Linked DNA regions of Macaca fascicularis. The protein of the gene in region 1 binds, or shares a complex with, the protein of each later gene. Links are inferred from orthologs where the notes say so. Each region holds a gene or a part of one and is shown on either strand. Other genes may lie near its edges.

The links. The genes of interacting proteins can lie anywhere in the genome.
Region 2: the proteins of SPINDOC (region 1) and SPIN1 are in contact, whole or in part, in a crystal structure (PDB 7CNA), measured with the Homo sapiens proteins. The link is inferred for Macaca fascicularis from reciprocal best matches to the Homo sapiens genes SPINDOC and SPIN1. Residues at the interface, in NP_612480.1 of Homo sapiens: Phe256, Ala258, Pro259, Ala260, Val262, His264, Phe265, Thr266, Asp267, Ser269, Phe270, Pro271, Gly273, Phe274, Val275, Leu276, Gln277, Leu278, Phe279, Ser280; in NP_006708.2 of Homo sapiens: Met154, Thr169, Tyr170, Glu171, Pro174, Pro206, Val209, Val210, Leu213, Lys216, Gln217, Val218, Glu219, Tyr220, Thr229, Val232, Val242, Tyr243, Ile245, Phe247, Asp249, Asp250, Tyr254, Val255, Tyr256, Asp257, Leu258, Val259, Lys260, Thr261.

Annotation. Positions count from the first base shown.
Region 1 is NC_088388.1:10,595,620-10,599,699, forward strand, and holds the start of SPINDOC (spindlin interactor and repressor of chromatin-binding protein), read right to left. Parts: upstream 2,848-4,080; 5' UTR 2,613-2,847; coding exon 2,486-2,612; intron 1-2,485. UniProt on the Homo sapiens protein: Chromatin protein that stabilizes SPIN1 and enhances its association with histone H3 trimethylated at both 'Lys-4' and 'Lys-9' (H3K4me3K9me3).
Region 2 is NC_088389.1:118,702,071-118,706,291, reverse strand, and holds the start of SPIN1 (spindlin-1), read right to left. Parts: upstream 2,815-4,221; 5' UTR 2,226-2,814; intron 2,078-2,225; exon of another isoform or gene 1,954-2,077; intron 1,398-1,953; exon of another isoform or gene 710-1,397; intron 1-709. UniProt on the Homo sapiens protein: Chromatin reader that specifically recognizes and binds histone H3 both trimethylated at 'Lys-4' and 'Lys-9' (H3K4me3K9me3) and is involved in piRNA-mediated retrotransposon silencing during spermatogenesis.

The DNA of each region.
Region 1 (4,080 bases):
TGGTTCTTCTTTTGCTTCCCTGGCACTCCTTCTCAGTTACGGGTGCTGGTTCTTCCTCATCTCTTCTCAATATTCCCTCTCTTCCTCTGGGTTGTTGCTGAAGAACCATCTCCCCTCACCAGAGCACCCCATTCCCCTTATGGATCATCTCCAACACAGCACACATCACCACCTGATACTTGTTTTTGGGATGTTCACTGCTTGTCTCCTCACCACACCATAGAATCCATGACCATGGCCAGGCGCGGTGGCTCACACCTGAATCCCAGCACTTTGGGAGGCCGAGGCAGGCGGATCACCTGAGGTTGCAAGTTCGAGACCAGCCTGAGCCACAGGGAGAAACCCCATCTCTACTAAAAATACAAAATTAGCTGGGTGTGGTAGCGCATGACTGTAATCCCAGTTACTCGGGAGGCTGACACAGGAGAATCACTTGAACCGGGGAGGTAGAGGTTGTGGTGAGCCGAGATTGTGCCATTGCACTCCAGCTTGAGCAAAAAGAGAGAAACTCCATCTCAAAAAAAAAAAAAAAAAAAAAAAAAAAAAAAAAGAATCCATGACCACACAGATTTCTGATGTTTTACATCCATATCTCTGGCATCTGTATCTGCATCTCCCGGCATGCAGTGACATTTAGTAATGTGTGATGAGGGACTGACTCGGTTTCCAACCTGCCATCACTGGAGTTTCCCAGGACTCAGTTCTTACACACTTCTCTACTTCCCTCTCATCCCACTGTCTGCCTGCTGGCAATTTCCGTTTACGCCACTAGCCAGATACTCCCAGGAAATCTAGGCTCATGTATCTGACTGCTTAGTTGACCTCTCCACTTGAATATGTCATAAATAGGCATCTCAAACTTAATTATATTCAAACTTTCATTCCCAGTTTCCCATGAGCACCGCAGCCTTCCCCATCTCAGAAAATGGGAAGGCTGTTCCTCCAGTTGCTCAGGCCAAAAACCTTGAATTCAATCTTTCTTCCACTCTCCACTGAAATCTTTCCAGCAGCTTGTGCTGCCGGACCTTTGCACTTGCTATTCGGCCTGAAATGCTCTTCCTGCAGATACCTGCAAGGTTGGCATCCTCACTTCCTTTGGGTCTGTGCTCAAAATTCACCTTATTAGAGAACACTTTCTGAACCACTCGATATATCCAATTAAACACCCATTCCCCCTTTCTCCTTGTCCTGCTTCAGTGATCTCTGAACCATTTATTGCCACCCAACATACTATACATGAACCTATTTCTCTGTCTTTAGCCATTGGTATATATATGTTCTTCAAGAGTAAGGTTTCAGCTGCTCTGTTTACTGCTACTACTTCCCAGCCTAAAAACACTAGCCTAAACAGCCTAAAGTAGACGTCCAGTGAATATTGGTTGAATGAATTCACCTGTCTATTCCCACCCTAACAGTGGGGGTAAGGCCACCCTTGCAGGGTTGAGAGGATTAACTGAGACAGCCTCTGACAATGCCCAGTGAACACTCAGCAAATATTAGCAGAAGTAGGAAAACAACCTGTCTTTTGGACTACATGCTCCGAGAAGGGAGGTGACCTTTATTTCCCTCATGAATTTTATAACCCTTCCAGTTCCAAAAAGGATGAGAGGCAGTGCAGACAGACATCATTCTGTTCGGCTGAGGTTCAATGAATGGCCTTGCTGCTCTCAACCTCTTCTGGGTACTGTCCCCCCAAAGAAAAGGCGGGTGGGAGAATGGAAAGATATTTGCATTTTCATGCATATTAAGTCTCCCACAAAGATGGCTCTTTGTTTTCTTATGGTTTGCAAGTTCCTGAGGACTAGAAATCGGCGAAGGGGGAGGGGAGAGCGAGTGTTCTCAGACTGTTCTTCCCATCCCCTCCCAAAGCTAATCTCATTCTAGCACTGCACTGCTTTTCCAAACTAGCTGTTGTATGCAGTCCCATTCATCCCTTCTCTCCAGAACCTGACACCTGTGGCTCCTGCAAGTGGAAGGCCCGGGAATGGGGATGAAGCGGGGCGGTGTGCAGGAAAGAGTCATGCTCGGGGAGTCCTTAAAATTCTCCTGGAGGTCGGCAGCGGCGCCCGCCTGTAGCCTCGGGCCTATAGGCTTCGCCGCCCCTCGGCCTAGAACACAGCCCGGCCGTTGTGCTTGCGTGAGACGGCGGCCTCAACCACCCAGCGCCTCTGGGGATCCGGCCTCCGGTGCTGGGCCCGGGAGAGGGGGCGCCTGGGCACCGGAAGATCCGGAGCGTGCGGGGCGTGGATCGAAGTCTCCAGACCCTGGGCGGGGGAAAGGGGGAGGGAGGGGAAAATCGGGGAGGCCTGAGCTTCCAAACCATGGTGGGGGAGGTGCAAGAGCGCGTCCTGGACCCAGATCCGAGAGGGAAGCCTGGGCCCCAGGATGAAGGGGATGAGAAGGTGCCCGGGTCGCGGACCCGACTGGGGAGGGACGACCCCGGCCCCGCACCGTGACGCGGAAGTGGGATCCCCTCCATCCTCACCTCTGAGCATCGGCTCGGGCCGCGGAATTACGGCCACCACCATGGCCTCCTCCTCGTCCTCCCCTTCCTCGCATTTGAGCGTCACCTCGAAGCAGTCGAGTGCGGCGCCCTCGGCCTTTAGGGCCATGGTGCGGCCGTGAGCGATAGCGGTGGCCGGAGAACTGGCGCGCAGGCTTCGCCGCGCAGCCGGCAACCGCCTCCCGCCTCCTGGCCGGAACAACGCCGGGCCCGCTGCCCGCTCCGCGCAGCCCCCTCCCCGCCACCTGCCCGCCTGCCGCTCGCCGGCCGGCGCTGCAACCGGCGCGTCCGGGCCTCCCCGAGACCTCGGCGCGTCGGGAGCCCGGGCGGGGAGGGCTCAATCCGGGGCCCCTGCCCCCCGCCGCTCCCTTTTATGGAGGCTCATTGTCGGCGCCCGCCCGGCCGGCCAGCCGCGGACCCGCCCCCGATCCCGCGCGACCAATCGCGCGTGGCCCCGCCCCGGGCACGCGGCCCCGTTGGAATCCCTCGACCCAGGAGGCGGCGGGAAGGGCCGAGCGGACCCGGGGCCGCCCAGTGCGCGGAGGCAGAGGGGCCCCCAAAACCCGCACCGCGGACGTCTTAGTCGACTGGCCAAGCCCGGGGGTTTCCCTCCGTTCAGAAGTCGTTGGGCGTTTCTGCTGGCGTGGAGAGCGCTACCAGGTGCCCCCGGATTTTGATCCGGAGTCGCTTTTGCCTTTCCGTGGACAAGCCTTCCTCCGCCAGCAGATGCCCCGGGCAGGAAGAGAAGCGGTGGGGGAGTGGAAAGGGCCTTGGTATGGAAGCGTAGAGACCGAATTCCTTCTCATGTGCCGGCTCTGTGGCCATGGGCACATTATCTGTTTTATTAGACCGGCTCATCGTTTCTTTCAAAAAGCATTTCGGACCTTTCTGGGAAGGCAAAGAAGAGGAGCGGAGTGGACTGTGAGCGGACGTAAACCACCCCGATGGGTATGATTTCCATTTTTTACACGTGAGTCCAGAGATTTTGTGACCCTCTCCAAGGACATACAGCAATCCCTTGAGAGCCCCAAGACCAGAGTCCAGTTGCCATGACATTGCTTCCCTATAACCACACTCTGGGTGAGCTTTTACTTCTGTGACATGGAATGTGCATCTCCCTCTTCTATAGCAACCCTCATGAGATTTCAGCTCAGAAAATGCAAAATGTCTGACACTGAAAAAACATCTTCAAATGTCGTTATATCAAACCAGACACAGTAGTATTCAGAATCGCGTAGTAGGATGGGGGTATGAGAAGAGGTGTGAACTAGTCTATATGGATTGCAGTCAATTTTTTTTATTATTATTATTTTGAGACAGAGTCTCCCTCTGTCACCAGGTTGGAGTGCAGTGGCGCCATCTTGGCTCACCACAACCTCCGCCTCCCGGGTTCAAGCGATTCTCCTGCCTCTGCCTCCCGGGTAGCTGGGACTGCAGGTACGTGCAACCACGCCCGGCTAATTTTTGTATTTTTAGTAGAGACGGGGTTTCACCATGTTGACCAGGATGGTCTCGATCTCTTGACCTCCTGATCCGCCCGCCTCGGCCAAAGTGGGATTACAGGCCTGAGCCACCGC
Region 2 (4,221 bases), on another chromosome or scaffold:
AAGATGCTAGCAATTAAGGAGTGCAACCAGTAACGTTATAACTAAGTGCAATCAGGTAAGTCACTCGGAAGTGAAAACCATCTAAATAAAAACCAAATTAATAACTCTCATCAATATGATAGCCAAATTTGAGACACTACCCACAAAATGCAGAGGGGCACACATCAGCCACATCAATATTGTGATCCCTCAGTTCACAAGAGAGACACACAATTATCTGAGATACACTGTAAGGACACCAATGATCAACATATGGCATCGCAATGGCTGTTCCAGGGAACATCCATTTTCACTGTTCCCTGGATTTCAGGCATAAAAAGATGACTGAAGACATATACTGGCCCTTTTACCTTAACCCAATTCATAACCATTGTAAAAGTAACCATTTCGCTACTCAAAAGATTATAAAGAAATTCTATTTTTCGTAAGAATCTACGATCTACTAGCACACACATACTGTACCTTAATATATAATTATCAAATCTGAAAACAAACGTTCTGCAAATTACCAGCTACTACAATATTTTGGTGTTTGCCTTTTAACTAAAGCTGATGGGGGGAGTAGGGAGGTTGGAAGAATACTCATTTTACCTGCCCTTCCCAAATTTCACTTCAAAAGAGTGTTTAAAAACTCAGTATGTCCAGATATAAATCTCCAAGCTTAATTTTCACTGTTTAACAAAAGCGATGTAGAAAGCAATTACTGTACCCTCCATCAATCCTTTCGGATTGCACAGAATTCCTTCCAGAAAATTCCAATAGAAAAAAAGTTAGACAGGTATTCGCGTTTTGGTGCGTAAGTAGTCTTTGGCACACGTCATGTAGCGTGAAATCCTTTAAGACATTTAAATGTTCCTGGTATTGTTTTGCGATGAACGTGATAAAATAGTCAAACAATCCATATTTACCAAGAGTAAAAACACTTCCACCACGCACGGAAAATCTCTCCAAAACACAAAATCTGATTCAAAAATTATAAATAAAAAGAGAATAAATGTAAAAACAAATGCATAAACAAACTTCGAAATGCGTATGCGATGACATTACTGAAGCCATTACTCAAAACGAACCTCTGTAAAATCGAGAACGCACAATCAATGCAATAAGATGCTCGAGAAAGCCAAACCCGAGGCGCTGCGCAGTTCCCGCATCGCACAATTCATTTCAACACATTCCTTGACGAATACATCCAAGGTCACTCACGATGGAGAGGAAAGTGCCTGTCTCTCTCCAGAGCACGCAACCCGTTCGCCGCGCCCCCACGGAGGGCGGCGAGGAGACGGGCGCATCAGGAAAGGGGCTGCGCGGGCGCGAGGACTGGCCGGTGGGCGTTCCGGCGCCGCGGAAACCCGCGCATCCGCGGAGCCCGCAACTTGCAAGGTCCGCGGCCATCCCCCGGGCCTGGGAGGGGTGGCCCGAGGGCAGGCCCGCGTCCCCGGGGTGACCCGACCCGCCGCGCCGGGGTCCCGCCCCTCCCCCCGCCCCGCCCCCGTCGCCGGCCCGGGATTATGCAACGCTCCCCCTCCCCGCCCGCATTCTGGCGCAGCGCCCCCTCCCCGCGCCCGACTGCGCAGCGCCGCCGCCCCCTGCCCGCGGGCCTCCCCGCCCGGCTCCAAACAAAGCGCGCGCTAAGGGGCCGGCGGCGGCCGGGGAACTGGGGACGGGAGGGTGGCGGCCATGTTGGCGGGGGGCGGCGGAGATGGGGGGACTGAGGAGTGGGGGCCGGCGAACAAAGGAGCGCGCGCCCGCCCGGAGGCCCAGGCCCGCCCCGCCCGGGTCCCCGCCGTGGCCCGGCCGGCAGGGGGCGCTGTGCGGGCGCCGCCCGCTGGACAATGCTCCGCCGGGCCCCGCGCGGGCCGCGCTCACCTGCGCCCCCGGGCAGGCCGCCGCACCCCTGGCCTGCCGGCGGCCCGCACCCTCTCACGACCCACGCCCGCCCTGCGCGAGCCTCACCTGCTGGCCGCTGCGGCTGCAGTCCACAGGCCCACGGGTTCCGCCGTCGCTCGTTCGCGCTCCCGCCGGCCCCAGCCCGAGCCAGACGGCGCCTCCCCGCCCCCGCTCCCTCGCCGCGGACGCCGCCCGCCCCCCAGCAGCCAGGGCGCACGCGCACTGCGCCCGCCGAACTGCGACGGCCGCGCCGCCCCGGCGCCTGGCGCCGACGGCCGACTGCGCAGGCGCAGTGGGGCGGGGCGGGGCCGGCGGGGGCGGGGCCCGGTCCTTCTCACCTGGCGGGCGGCAGGGCGGGGCCGGAGACCCGGAATGCCAGGTGCGCGAGGTGAATGGGCGGTGGCAGGCGCGCGGAGCCCAGGCGCCTGAGGGGGCGCAGCTTCTCCCGGAAGGCAGGCAGCCTCCGAAGGACTTCGTTTTTGCGCAGGAGGACGTTGAAGAAAGGACAAGCCCCCTTTGTCCTGGGACGTAAGCCGCAAGTGGTCCTGAGTAGTGCACACCGCGAAGACTGAGGAAGCTGGATCACAGGGCTGGGCCGTGAGCCCTGAACCTTGGAGAACGCCGCATTACTGCTCCAGCGCGCCGGTTCAGGACCGCGGGACGCGAGCCCTTTAAAAGGATGGATTTGCTTCCTGTGACTCCCTGGAAGAGACGTCTTCACCACCGCACTGCGTAGAGGCCGGCGTCGTCGCCCGCTCACCTCGCTTGCTGCCTCCCCGCACAAAGCCCAGCCCAGGTAGCTCAGGTTAGCTGGAGCCCCGGAGCCTCACCTACAAATAGCTGGCCTGGCCTAGGTTGTGTGGGGACGGGATGTGGCTTCTGCAAGCCCAGAAACCTGTTTCCACTCCCCCACCAGAAATGGAAGTCACCCAGCTCTACTCGCAAGGTTAGGAGCCAAAAATTCCCATGATCGCACGCGAATTCATTTGACTTCCGTTTCAGTTAAGATGCCTTTTCAGCATTTTGTTGCTTGTTTGCAGGAGAAGGGAGAGAGGTAGCGTCAAGAATAGTTTTTACTCCTGCAGAGTCGAGTGCAGGACTTGGAGGCTGAGTTCAGGCGCTCTCCCTTCCCCGCCAGCCCCGTGTCCTGCAGCAGGTCACTGACCCGGTTCCTCGAGTGCGACAGCGCAGCCTCATCGTAATAAACCGCCTCCCAAAACGTTGTCAGATCAAATTTCAGAACATGGTATTGGAAAGCACCTTAAACACTCTAAACTGCAGCACAATTATTAGTTAGCAATACTCTTTGGGGTTTGACTGGCACCTTTTCTTCCAAATAAGAGTGATAGATTCCTACTCAAACAAATGGAAATGCTTGTCTCAGATGACACACTTGGCAGGCATGGGACGTTCACAGGCCAACTAGAGGGCTGATTTCAGTACTGAGGTATAAAAGTGTAATGCTGTACTTACAAGTTCCCAAGTGTTGAGAAATTACTCACTCATTTGTGTATTTAATGTCTTTTTTGTGTGTTTGTTTAGACGGAGTTTCGCTCTGTTCCCAAGGCTGTAGTGCGGTGGCATGATCTCGGCCCACTGCAACCTCTGCTTCCTGGGTTCAAGCAGTCCTCATATCTCAGCCTCCCGAGTAGCTGGGATTACAGGCGCGCACCACCATATCCAGCTAATTTTTAAAAATATTTTTAGTAGAGGCGGTATTTCGCCATATTGGCCAGGCTGGTGTCAAACTCCTGGCCTCAAGCAATCCGCTGGCCTCAGCCTCCTAAAGTGCTAGGATTACAGGCGTGAGCCACCGTGCCGGCCTGTTTAATGTCTTATAGTGGGATTATCTCAGAAACAGAGGAATGGGAAGAAGGTAGGTGCCAAGAAATCTGCTGGTTGGAAGATTTCATCTCGTTGGTGAGACCCCTGGGTTTCTCCACCTCAGCACTGTTGGCTTTTGGGATGGGATAATCCTTTCGTGTGGGGTCGGTCCCATGCTTTGTAGGATGTTTGACGGCATCCCTGGCCTCCACCCACTAGATGCTAGTAGCACACACGCTCCTCCAAAATTCACAGAAAACGTCTTCAAAGTCAAATATGTTGCCCCACCTCCATCTCCATCCGCCAACCCCTGATTTAAAATGTGCCACTAGTAATGATCACATTGGGAGCTGTTGAGAATACGCAGGACTGTGGCTTACACCTGTAATCCGAACACTTTGGGAGACTGAGGCTGGAGGATGGCTTGAGCCCAGGAGTTCGAGACCAGCCTGGGCAACACAGCAAGACCCCAACTCTAAAATAAATACAATTTTAAAAAATTTTACAAAG